2 linked regions of the Ovis aries genome follow. The protein of the gene in region 1 interacts with the protein of each later gene in a biochemical or structural test. Links are inferred from orthologs where the notes say so. Each region holds a gene or a part of one and is shown on either strand. Other genes may lie near its edges.

The links.
Region 2: of the proteins of TRIM25 (region 1) and ZC3HAV1, one has a biochemical effect on the other in vitro, tested with the Homo sapiens proteins (2 studies listed by BioGRID). The link is inferred for Ovis aries from reciprocal best matches to the Homo sapiens genes TRIM25 and ZC3HAV1.

What each region holds. Positions count from the first base shown.
Region 1 is NC_056064.1:7,431,740-7,436,838, reverse strand, and holds the start of TRIM25 (E3 ubiquitin/ISG15 ligase TRIM25), read left to right. Parts: upstream 1-1,600; 5' UTR 1,601-1,678; coding exon 1,679-2,278; intron 2,279-5,099.
Region 2 is NC_056057.1:104,152,935-104,158,091, reverse strand, and holds the start of ZC3HAV1 (zinc finger CCCH-type antiviral protein 1), read left to right. Parts: upstream 1-2,490; 5' UTR 2,491-2,552; coding exon 2,553-2,860; intron 2,861-5,157.

The DNA of each region.
Region 1 (5,099 bases):
CAAATAGCAACCAATAACAAGATAGACCACATCTGGGTCTCAATAAATTTAAATGATTGAAATAATACAAAGTATATTCTCTCTCCATAATGGAATGTATTTAGGTAGGTCTTAGTAAACAGCCACTGCATGGAATTTGATAATAACGCATGTCCCTCCTAATGTTATTCACTAACTAATCAGCCTTTCTAAACTTCTCTTCCTGGAAGGAGAGGTCTACAAGCATTCTGGCATGAGTCAGGTCACCTCACCCACAAGAGCTAGGTCAGAGGGAATTTCATAATGTTTATTTCCTGGAAAATGCTCCCCGTGGGGGACAACTTTTTATAGTAGGACACACTTGGTTTTTGGAATCATAGTCTGGATACCAATAATCATTACCTTAGACAAGTTATTTAGTTTCTCTAAGCCTCAGCTTTCTCATCTGTACCATAAGGTATTTGTACCTCAAGGATTTAGAGGCTAAATAAATAAATGTAAATTTCCTACCTTCTTCAGTCTTCTTTTTCTCATGCAAATAACATCGTAATATGCAAGAGAAGACATGGGGTAAATAGTCCTGGAGCAATAGAGAAAGCTGGCATTAGGATGTTGAATAAAGCAATCTTGAGCTAGTATCCCAGTCCTCTTTTGTATGAAGTATGTGACCCTCATCTATAAAATGGGCATAATGACGTCCCTCCTGTAGTGCTAACAAGGATTATGGGAGATTATAAGGCTATCTACGACTCGCCTAGCACCCAGAGGTACGGATAAATGGTAGTGGTCAGAATTAGAATCCGCCTTTCCCCCCTTTTTGGTGCCCACCCTGTCCCCAAAGTAAACTCCAGTTCACTCCCCCCATAGCACTACGTTTCCTTTCGCCCGCATCTCCTCTTGAACTCGTCTCCCCTACTGCACACACACTTGTGCACCGAGGCTAGAGCAGCCGGGGAAACAAAGCTACAATTAGAAAGCAACTAAATAAACAATTTTGAGAACAATGTCTCAAAATTATATTTGTGTGCGTGCACAGGCGCGCGTGAAAGTGGGGACGTATGAGACAGGAGATTTTTATGAGACTGGGGTATCTCCAAACTCCAGGAAACTAGAAGGCGGGGCGGGGCGTAGAGGGGAAAGCGTGTCACATCGCCGGGCGCGGAAAGAAATCGCCAAGAGGAAGCCTCAGCCTGCGGAGATCGTGTTGCCCAGACGCCAGGGCCCAGCACCAGGGAAACGAAAGGAAGGATGAAATAAAATTTTAAAAAGGCAGAGAGTGGCGGGCCACCCGGGAAGCCCTTGCTGTAGGTGTTTCCACAGGTCCGTCCGATAAGCCCGCCTGGCGTGCGGCCGGGCTCCCCGAGGGTAGGGACCCGCGCAGGCGCGCCCGCCCGGGGCTCCGGCGCGCTCGGGAGCCGGGGTTCACTCCGCGCCGCGCGGCCGCGGGAACCGCCCTGGGGCCGGGAGGCCGGTCTGAACGCCCAGGGTGCGGCGCCCCGCGCCCGCCGCCGGGGCCGAGCGCGGCGGCCGGGACCGCGGGGACCCCGGGGCGCCCCCACCCGGCGCGGCCCGCCCGCCCCACGTGACTTCCTGGAAGCCCGGGGGCCCCGCCCCGCCGCTCGGTTTCGTTTCCTCGGCGGCCTCGGGGCCACTGCGCCGCCGTTTCCCCGCACGTCCCGTCGGGCGCCGCAGACGCACCATGGCGGAGCTGTGCCCGCTGGCCGAGGAGCTGTCGTGCTCCATCTGCCTGGAGCCCTTCAAGGACCCGGTCACCACGCCGTGCGGCCACAACTTCTGCGGCGCGTGCCTGGACGAGACGTGGGCCGTCCAGGGCGCGCCGTACCTCTGCCCGCAGTGCCGCAGCGGCTTCCCCGCGCGGCCGCAGCTGCGCAAGAACACGGTGCTGTGCGCCGTGGTGGAGCAGTTCCTGCAGGCCGAGCAGGCCCGGCCCGCGCTCGCCGCCGACGGCTGGACGCCGCCCACCCGCGCCGCCGCCCCCAGCGCGGCCGGCCAGGTGGCCTGCGACCACTGCCTGCAGGCCACCGCCGTCAAGACGTGCCTGGTGTGCATGGCCTCCTTCTGCCAGGAGCACCTGCGGCCGCACCTGGACAGCCCCGCCTTCCAGGACCACCCGCTGCAGCCGCCCGTCCGCGACCTGATGCGCCGCAAGTGCGCCCGCCACAACCGCCTGCGGGACTTCTTCTGCCCCCAGCACAGCGAGTGTATCTGCCACGTCTGCGTGGTGGACCACAAGACCTGCTCGCCTGCGCCCCTCAACGAGGCCAGCACCGACCTGGAGGTAGGGGGGCGGCGGGCGGGGGCGCCGAGAGGCAGCCTAGGCCGGCGGGGTGGCGCACAGGGCCCCGCTGTGGGCAGTGTGGCCGACCAGGCGGATCCCGTGGGGGCGGTGGAGGGGCATCCTCAGGCCTTGCTGTGCCTGAGATGGGGCCAGGGGTACAGCCAGTGTCCTGGTAGAAGGGGCCGTGAGAACATACAGCCCTCATATTCGTGGCTCACCCCACTCACCCATTTTACAGAGGGAACTACTTAAGACGCAGGTGATATGTTGTTTGCATTAAGCCTAGCAGTTGTCTGGGGGTCGCTTGTGGCTCAGACGGTAGAGAATCTGCCTGCTATGCTGGAGACTCCGCTTCTATCCCTGGGTCGGGAAGATCCCCTGGAGAAGGGAATGGCAACCCACTCCAGTGTTCTTGCCTGGAGAATTGCGTGGACAGAGGAGCCTGGCGGGCCACAGTCCCTGATGTCTCAAAGAGTGGGACACGGCCGAGTGACTACACTTTCACTTTAGCAGTGATCTGACATGTTTAGTAGAGGGTTTTGAACATCAATATGAGGGCTAGAGGTTACCTACGTTCTCTTAAGTTCCCCTAGCTCCCAGGTGGTGGGTATAATGAGTTGTTTACAGCTGAGGAAGTAGGAAATGGACATTCAGAGAAGTTCATTTCACTTGAGTTAACCCAAGTGGCCAAGTGGTCATTGAGCCTTGGCCAGCTGGTCGGACACCATTGTTGCTGTTTCTCCTGGTGGACCAGCCTCAAAACCAAGTCCTGGAATTCAGAGCACAGGACATTCCTGAGGTCATGTGAGATAAAGTCTTTGTGAGCCAGAGACTTCTGGTGACCGGGGAGGACCGACCACTGTGAGGGGGAGGGTGGGCAGGGTCCCAGGAAGCCCTGGACAGGAGGCCCAGCTGCACGCTTGCTGTGCCCTTTCTCCTGCCTGAGCTCCTTTAAAGCACGGGGCTGGTCCTCATCAGCAACGTGAGGAGGGGGATCAGGGCCCTTCTTGGTCTGAGATGGTTTCAGTGGTTGCCTGGGGTCGGTCCTCATCAGCAATGTGAGGAGGGGGATCAGGTGGATTCCTCAGGGCCCTTCTTGGTCTGAGATGTTTTCAGTGGTTCGAGGACCCTGATTTCCCATCTGGAATGGAGGCAGAGGCTGAACAGGTGTAGGCCCACTCCCTTTCCTTGCTTCAGTCAAACTTCAGGGTGAGGCCTGGGTTCTTTTCTCTCTCCCAGGCTCTCAGGGAAAACCGGGGCTGTCCTCGTGCTGTCTAAGGAGATGTGAGGCCTGGGGAGCTTTGCAGTGGCTCCACGGCCCGGGGGCAGGTGCTGCTCTGGCCTGGGCAGGACCCTCCCTGCCTCGTCTGCGTGTCCAGGCCGAGCTGGGTTCCTGCGGCCTGCTTCTCTGAGTCCCTCAGGCCTTGCCTGACATTGACCAGCGAGGTACAACTGTCTCAGGCCCAGCCCACTTGGGTCTTCACCTGTTACAGGAAAGAACCTGCCTGGCCTTCAGAGCCTGGAGGCCTGCTCTGCGTACATCAGCTGTGGTTCAGGGCAAGTCATTACATTTCTCTTGAGGGTCAGCGTCTTCATCCCTAAAACGGGATTAATAGCATTCCGTCTGCACATCCAAGAGTGGCCAGGAGGCTCCAGGGGGCTGAGCTGTTTGGGAAGTGCTTCTTAGGCAGGCCCCAGGGCCCAGCTGGTTGACTCGGATTCTGACCAGAGCTGAATGTTGAGACCTGGGTTTGAATTCTGGCTCTGCTTCCTGGCTGGGAACCCATCAAAGGGCCCAATAATGCTGCCTATCTGAGGAGGTGGTTGGGAGGATTAATGAGGTGATCCATAAATGGTGGGTTTTGTTTATTTGTTTTAAACACAGCTGTCAATCCGCCTGCAGTGTGGGAGACTCAGGTTCAATCCTGGGGTCAGACAGATCCCCTGCAGAAGGGAATGGCTACCCACTCCAGTATTCTGGCCTGGAGAATTCCAAGGACAGAGGAGCCTGGCAAGCCACAGTCCATGGGGTTGCAAAGAATCAGACACGACTGAACAACTAACACTTCACTTCTTAGCTTTTAGGTTGTGTGTGTGTGTTTTTTTTTTTTTTTTTCCTTTTCAGTTGACAGAGATCAGAGTTGCTTTTTAAAAAAAAGTTGTTTTAAGTTTTGGCCCTGATGGTCTTAGTTGCGGCGCACAGCTTCTCTAGTTGTGGCGCGTGGGATTAGTTGCTCCTTGGCATATGAGATCTTAGCTCCCTGAGCAGAGATTGAACCTGTGTCTCTTGCATTGGAAGGCGGATTCTTAGCCACTGGACCACCAGGGAATTCCCCATGCATGGCATTTTTATAGCTCACTAGTGCTCCATAGAGCTGCTGCTATCATTTCTGTTACTCAGAAATTCCCTGAGGAGAGTTGCTGCATGGAGGGTGTTAGACTGCCCAGATTTTCTTCTCAGGATGTGTGGGCCTGAGGACTTGGGCAGCCTAGATCTGCTCAGAAGGCCTGCTAGCAGTTCTTATCCAGGGGGCAGAAGGCAGTGAGGGGCAGAAGGGCCCTTTGTGGTCTGGTCTGGAGCCACAGCTTCCGCTCGATCTCCAGGGCCTGGGGCTGAAATCTGCGCCCAGGTTATCTGTGTGCCATGCACGCTCGGCTTTCTAATCCTTTTAACAAGCCTTGCCTGCCCTCCATTCTCCTGGCCTGCTGTGTCCTTTAACCCTGCGGCCCCCCACCTTTTTGGCAGGCAGCAGGGACTGGTTTCATGAAAGACGGGGAGAGGTGGTTCAGGCAGTGTGGGGAGCGGCAGGTGAAGCCTCGC
Region 2 (5,157 bases), on another chromosome or scaffold:
CATGAAATATTGTCTTGGTATCTCTAATTTTCTTGAAGAAATCTCTAGTCTTTTCCATTCTATTGTTTTTCTCTATTTCTTTGCATTGATCGCTGAGGAAGATTTTCTTATCCCTCCTTAATATTCTTTGGAACTCTGCATTCAAATGGGTATATCTTTCCTTTTCTCCTTTGCTTTTCGCCTCTCTTCTTTTCACAGCTATTTGTAAGGCCTCCTCAGACAGCCATTTTGGTTTTTTGCATTTCTTTTTCATGGGGATGGTCTTGATTCCTGTCTCCTGTACAATGTCATGAACCTCCATCCATAGTTTATCAGGCACTCTATCAGATCTAATCCCTTAAATCTATTTCTCACTTCCAGTGTATAGTCATAAGGGATTTGATTTAGGTCATACCTGAATGGTCTAGTGGTTTTCTCCACTTTCTTCAACCATTGGGTTTTGCAAAGTAACTGGCAGTAGACAGGTTAAAAAGAGAAAGGAAAAAAATAAAGAGAGAAAGATTTATTTAGCATTGGTGGGGGGAAGCTTCCAATAATGGAAACTTCCTAGAATTGCCTGAAATCACTTTATATATCTCAATTAACAAAGGGGTTTCTCTTTTAGAACTTCATTAGAGGGGTAAGGCAATGGTACCCGACTCCAGTACTCTTGCCTGGAAAATCCCATGGATGGAGGAGCCTGGTAGCCTGCAGTCCATGGTGTGGCTAAGAGTTGGATACGACTGAGCAACTTCAATTTCACTTCTCACTTTCATGAATTGGAGAAGGAAATGGCAACCCACTCCAGTGTTCTTGCCTGGAAAATCCCAGGGACAGAGGAGCCTGGTGGACTGCCGTCTATGGGGTCACACAGAGTCGGACAGGACTGAAGCGACGCAGCAGCAGCAGCTGCAGAGGGGTATGGAAGGTTCTATCCGGTTTTTTAATGCTAACTGCAATGGATATTCTGTCTGCAGGGCAATTGAGTTAGCAGGAAACTCCCTTGGAACGGGGTGAAAGGTAGCTGCATTTTCTTTAGGCTTTTGCTTTACTCAGACTAAGAGAAATTCAGATAAATTTATTTCTGCATCCTCTGTAGCTCAAACGTTTTCACTTTAATCTCTATACGGTGGCTCAGATGGTGAAGACTTTGCCTGCAAATGTGGGAGACCTGGGTTCGATCCCTGGGTTGGGAAGATCTGCAAAAGGGAACAGCTACCCACTCCAGTATTCTGGCCTGGAGAATTACATGGATAGACAAGCCTGGTGGACTACAGTCCATGGAATCCCCAGGAGCCAGACAGACTGAGCAACTTTCACTTTCACTTTTTTCTTTTATACCAACTCTGCGGGCTTAAGGGAGTCCCCACCGAAGGGGAAAAGATCGTGTCCAAATATTCAAAGAGAGGATATCTAGCTTAAGTCCTGGGATCTGTCTAAGCATGCCTGGGGCACCTCTGTTGATGGTTATAGACAGGCAAGAATGTGTCAAGAAGTGGTTCTTCAAAGAACTCAAAAAAAGGTGAAAAAGCGGGAAAGCAATAATGATTGTTCTTGGAGAAGGTCGGGTGCTGAGAAAGACACTACCCAGTGGTCCCTGCCAGGCAGACCTCAATCTGGAGTCTGGGGGCCAGATTTGGGAAACCTTGGGTAGTATTCTGGCTCCAGCTGTTGGCTGTTTGCTCAGATTACTTCCTGGAGGAGAGTGAGGATAATACTATCTAACTCGTGGAGCTGTGAAGATTACTGATGCTGAAGCTGAAGCTCCAATACTCTGGCCACCTGATGTGAAGAGCTCAATCATTGGGAAAGACCCTGATGCTGAGAAAGACTGAGGGCAGGGGGAGAAAGGGGCGACAGAGGACGAGATGGTTGGATGGCATCACCGACTCGAGTTGGTGCAAACTCCAGGAGATGGTGAAGGACAGGGAAGCCTGGCGGGCTGCAGTCCATGCGGTCACAAAGAGTCGGCCTGAGCGACTGAACAACAACAACTAATATCGGAGGCAGGGCGCGGGGCTCAGAGCAGGCGCTCTCTTGGGTCCGTTCTTTCCGGGGATGGGTGGGGTAGAGAACAGAGGGCTCCTCAAGAGGGCTCCCAAGACTCGCGTCATTCGCCGCTTCGTCTGGCTTATAAAAGCTCTGCCGGAGCCGAGAGGTTATTTTTTTTCCCCTTTTAGTTTCTCTTCTTTCCAAAGAAGCCTCTCGGCGCCCCGCTGGGGAACCTGACCCTCCAGGAGCCTGGAGACGAGGGGGCAGCCGTCCGGTGGTCTCCACGGTCGCCCGCAGACAAGCCCGCACTTGTTCGCTCTCTTTGCACGAGGTGGCCGTCGCGATCGCCTTTTGATCTGACGCAGGGACCGGGGTCGGTGAGATCTGGCCTCTCGACCCGAGCTTTTCGGAAACCGAAACCGACAGGCTAGGCTAACGGGCGGCGGACAGCGCACGCTCGCTCGCTGGCCCCGGGCGCGCCCAACCCGCGCGGCGCCCGCCCCCCGCCTCAGGGACTCTAGTAAGTTTCGATTCTCCCGGCAGCCGAGTCCCGCGCGGAGGTCAGGCCAGTATAGCGCGCCATGGCGGACCCCGGGGTGTGCAGCTTCATCACCAAGATCCTGTGCGCCCACGGGGGGCGCATGGCCCTGGAAGCTCTGCTCCGCGAGATGCAGCTCTCCGAGGCGCAGCTCTGCGAGGTGCTGGAGGAGGCCGGGCCCGACCGCTTCGTGGTGTTGGAGATGGGCGGCAAGGAAGGGGTCACCCGGTCCGTGGTAGCCACCACTCGAGCCCGGGTCTGCCGTCGCAAGTACTGCAACAAACCCTGCGGGAACCTGCACCTCTGCAAGCTCAACCTGCTGGGCCGGTGCCACTATTCGCAGTCGGAGCGGTGAGTGCCGTGAGCGGGAGGGGCGGCTTCCCCGGGTCCCGGCTCCGGGAGGACGGTGGCTGCTGCTCTGGAGGGGCGCGCCCTCGCTGGGACCGCGCGCCCTATGCCTCTGCCTTGCTCCTCGAGGGGCCCGCGCTTTGTCTCTTGGAGGTTTCCTCCCCTCCAGCGTCGTCGGACCTTTCCTCCAGTATGGCTAGGGCGCTATTGCCCCGGTGAAGACTACGATGAACTTCCCACTTCCATAAGGGTCTGTCTGCAATGCGGAACACCCGGGGTCGATCCCTGGGTCGGGAAGATCCCTTGGAGGAGGGCATGGCAACCTCCTCCAGTACTCTTGCCAGAGGAGCCTGGGGGGCTACAGTCCATGGAGTTGCAAAGAGTCGGACACGACTGAGCAACTAACACTTTCGCTTTTCTCGTAAGAATAAATTTCTTTTGGGCATGCCAGGTTCTAGAGGGTTTGGAGGCAGGTTTGGGAACCACCGAAAATGCCTCCACCCTCTGGAAACTTAAGTCTCTCCCTCTCGGCTACCTTACCCGCTAGGGCTTTTTGTGTGGTCTTCCCAGACCCCCAGGCGCGCCTGGCCCCTGGGATCTGTCTCCATCGCGGCGCCTGCGGGGCTCTGCTTTGGCCCTCCATTCCTAGCCACCTCTCTCCCCCCTCTTATTATCCCTTTTTTGATACCTGACTCTAGACCGCTCCACCGGACCAGAATGGTCCTATTCAAGGTTACCAACGATGGGTCCGCTCACAGATCCTTCCTCGTGGTCGCTTACAGATCCTTCCTCGTGGTCGCCAAGGTGGCCTGAACATTTGGCCAACCACCCTTTGACCAAACCACTCTTGGGACCACTTTGATATGGTGCTGCAGTGTCTCCCAGGCAGCCGCTTCTGTGTTTCCACTTGTTTTGTCTCCTGAATATAGGTATGCCCCAACGTTTGGGTTAACCTTATTGATGGGCCTGTCTTCCACTTCTCTCCCCAAAAGCCCTGACACCATTGGGTTCAGTTGTCACATTTACAAAGATGGCTCCCTTGTGTACTTCCGCAGGCGTTTAGTCGACTCTAGGTTCTTCATCTCCAGGTGTCTGAGAAGTATCTGCGTCTAAATATCATACCAGTCGGAGTCAAACCCATTTTCTTTCCCCCAGGGCAGGGTTTCTGACACTCCCCTCAGCCTCTTCTTCCTCCTTCACATTACCTTAACCATTAATCAGTAAGTCCTTTCCTTGAGCACTCCTAAGCCTTCCCTTTCTATTTCCTACTTTTCAATCTCACTTCTAAATGAATGTCTTGTTGAACTAGTGAATGATTTTCTCTGACCACAGTCTTTGTCCCCATCTTTCCTATCTGTATGTACTTCTGCTAAATTGTTTTTCTTCATGTAGCATTTGTCACACTTCCTCCCTCCTTAAAAACTTTCAGTGGTGTCTTAGTGTCCAAAATGGTGGGTGGTCTTCAAACTTTTCAGCCTGCACATACTCACCAAGAACTTTAGATTTCTCACTCCAATACTTGTGTGATAAAACATACAAGACAGAGGTTGTAAATGGATGAGATTAGATGAGATTATTTTTTTTTAAATTCGTTTAGAGCAAAATTTTCAAAATATGCTCCGTTGTTATTAAAAAGAGATATTTATTGTGTTGCGAGGCAACAATTTGAAAGTCTGTTTCTGAGTTTTAGGAAGGTATGAGTTTGGAAGAAGTCGTCTAAGTCAGTAACAGATGAAACCAGGAAGGAGGAAAAGAGGGTAGAGATTAAGACAAAAAAAAAAAAAGGAAGGAACATTCTAGTGCTCTACCAAATAACAACGGGGATGAAAGGCTTTGTAGTCTTTCCTGTTTTGTTGTGAAAAATTCTTCACCAGTTAGTGCTGGCTTTTAGTTTTAAATACATAAGCTTCTTGTCTTTACATTTTTTTTTTTACTATGAGTATTTTCAACATACACTAAAGTAGAGAGGAGAGAATGATGAACCCCTATGTACCCATAGTTTCAACAGTTTTCAAAGTAAGGCCAGTCTTGGCTCATTTATTCTCCCCTTCCCATCCCCAGTCCCAACACCAATGTGTTATTTTAAGCCAAATGCCAGAGTTTAGTTGCTTTGTAAAATACTCTAGTATCTCCAAGGATGAAGGACTCTATTAATATAACTGCAGTGCAATGATCACTTTTTTTACAATTATAATTTTAATATCATATAATATCCAGTTGGTTTTCAAATTTCTCTGACTGCCGTATATTTGGACTTGCATTTACAGGGAATAAAACCTGTGCAGACATAATCTATAATT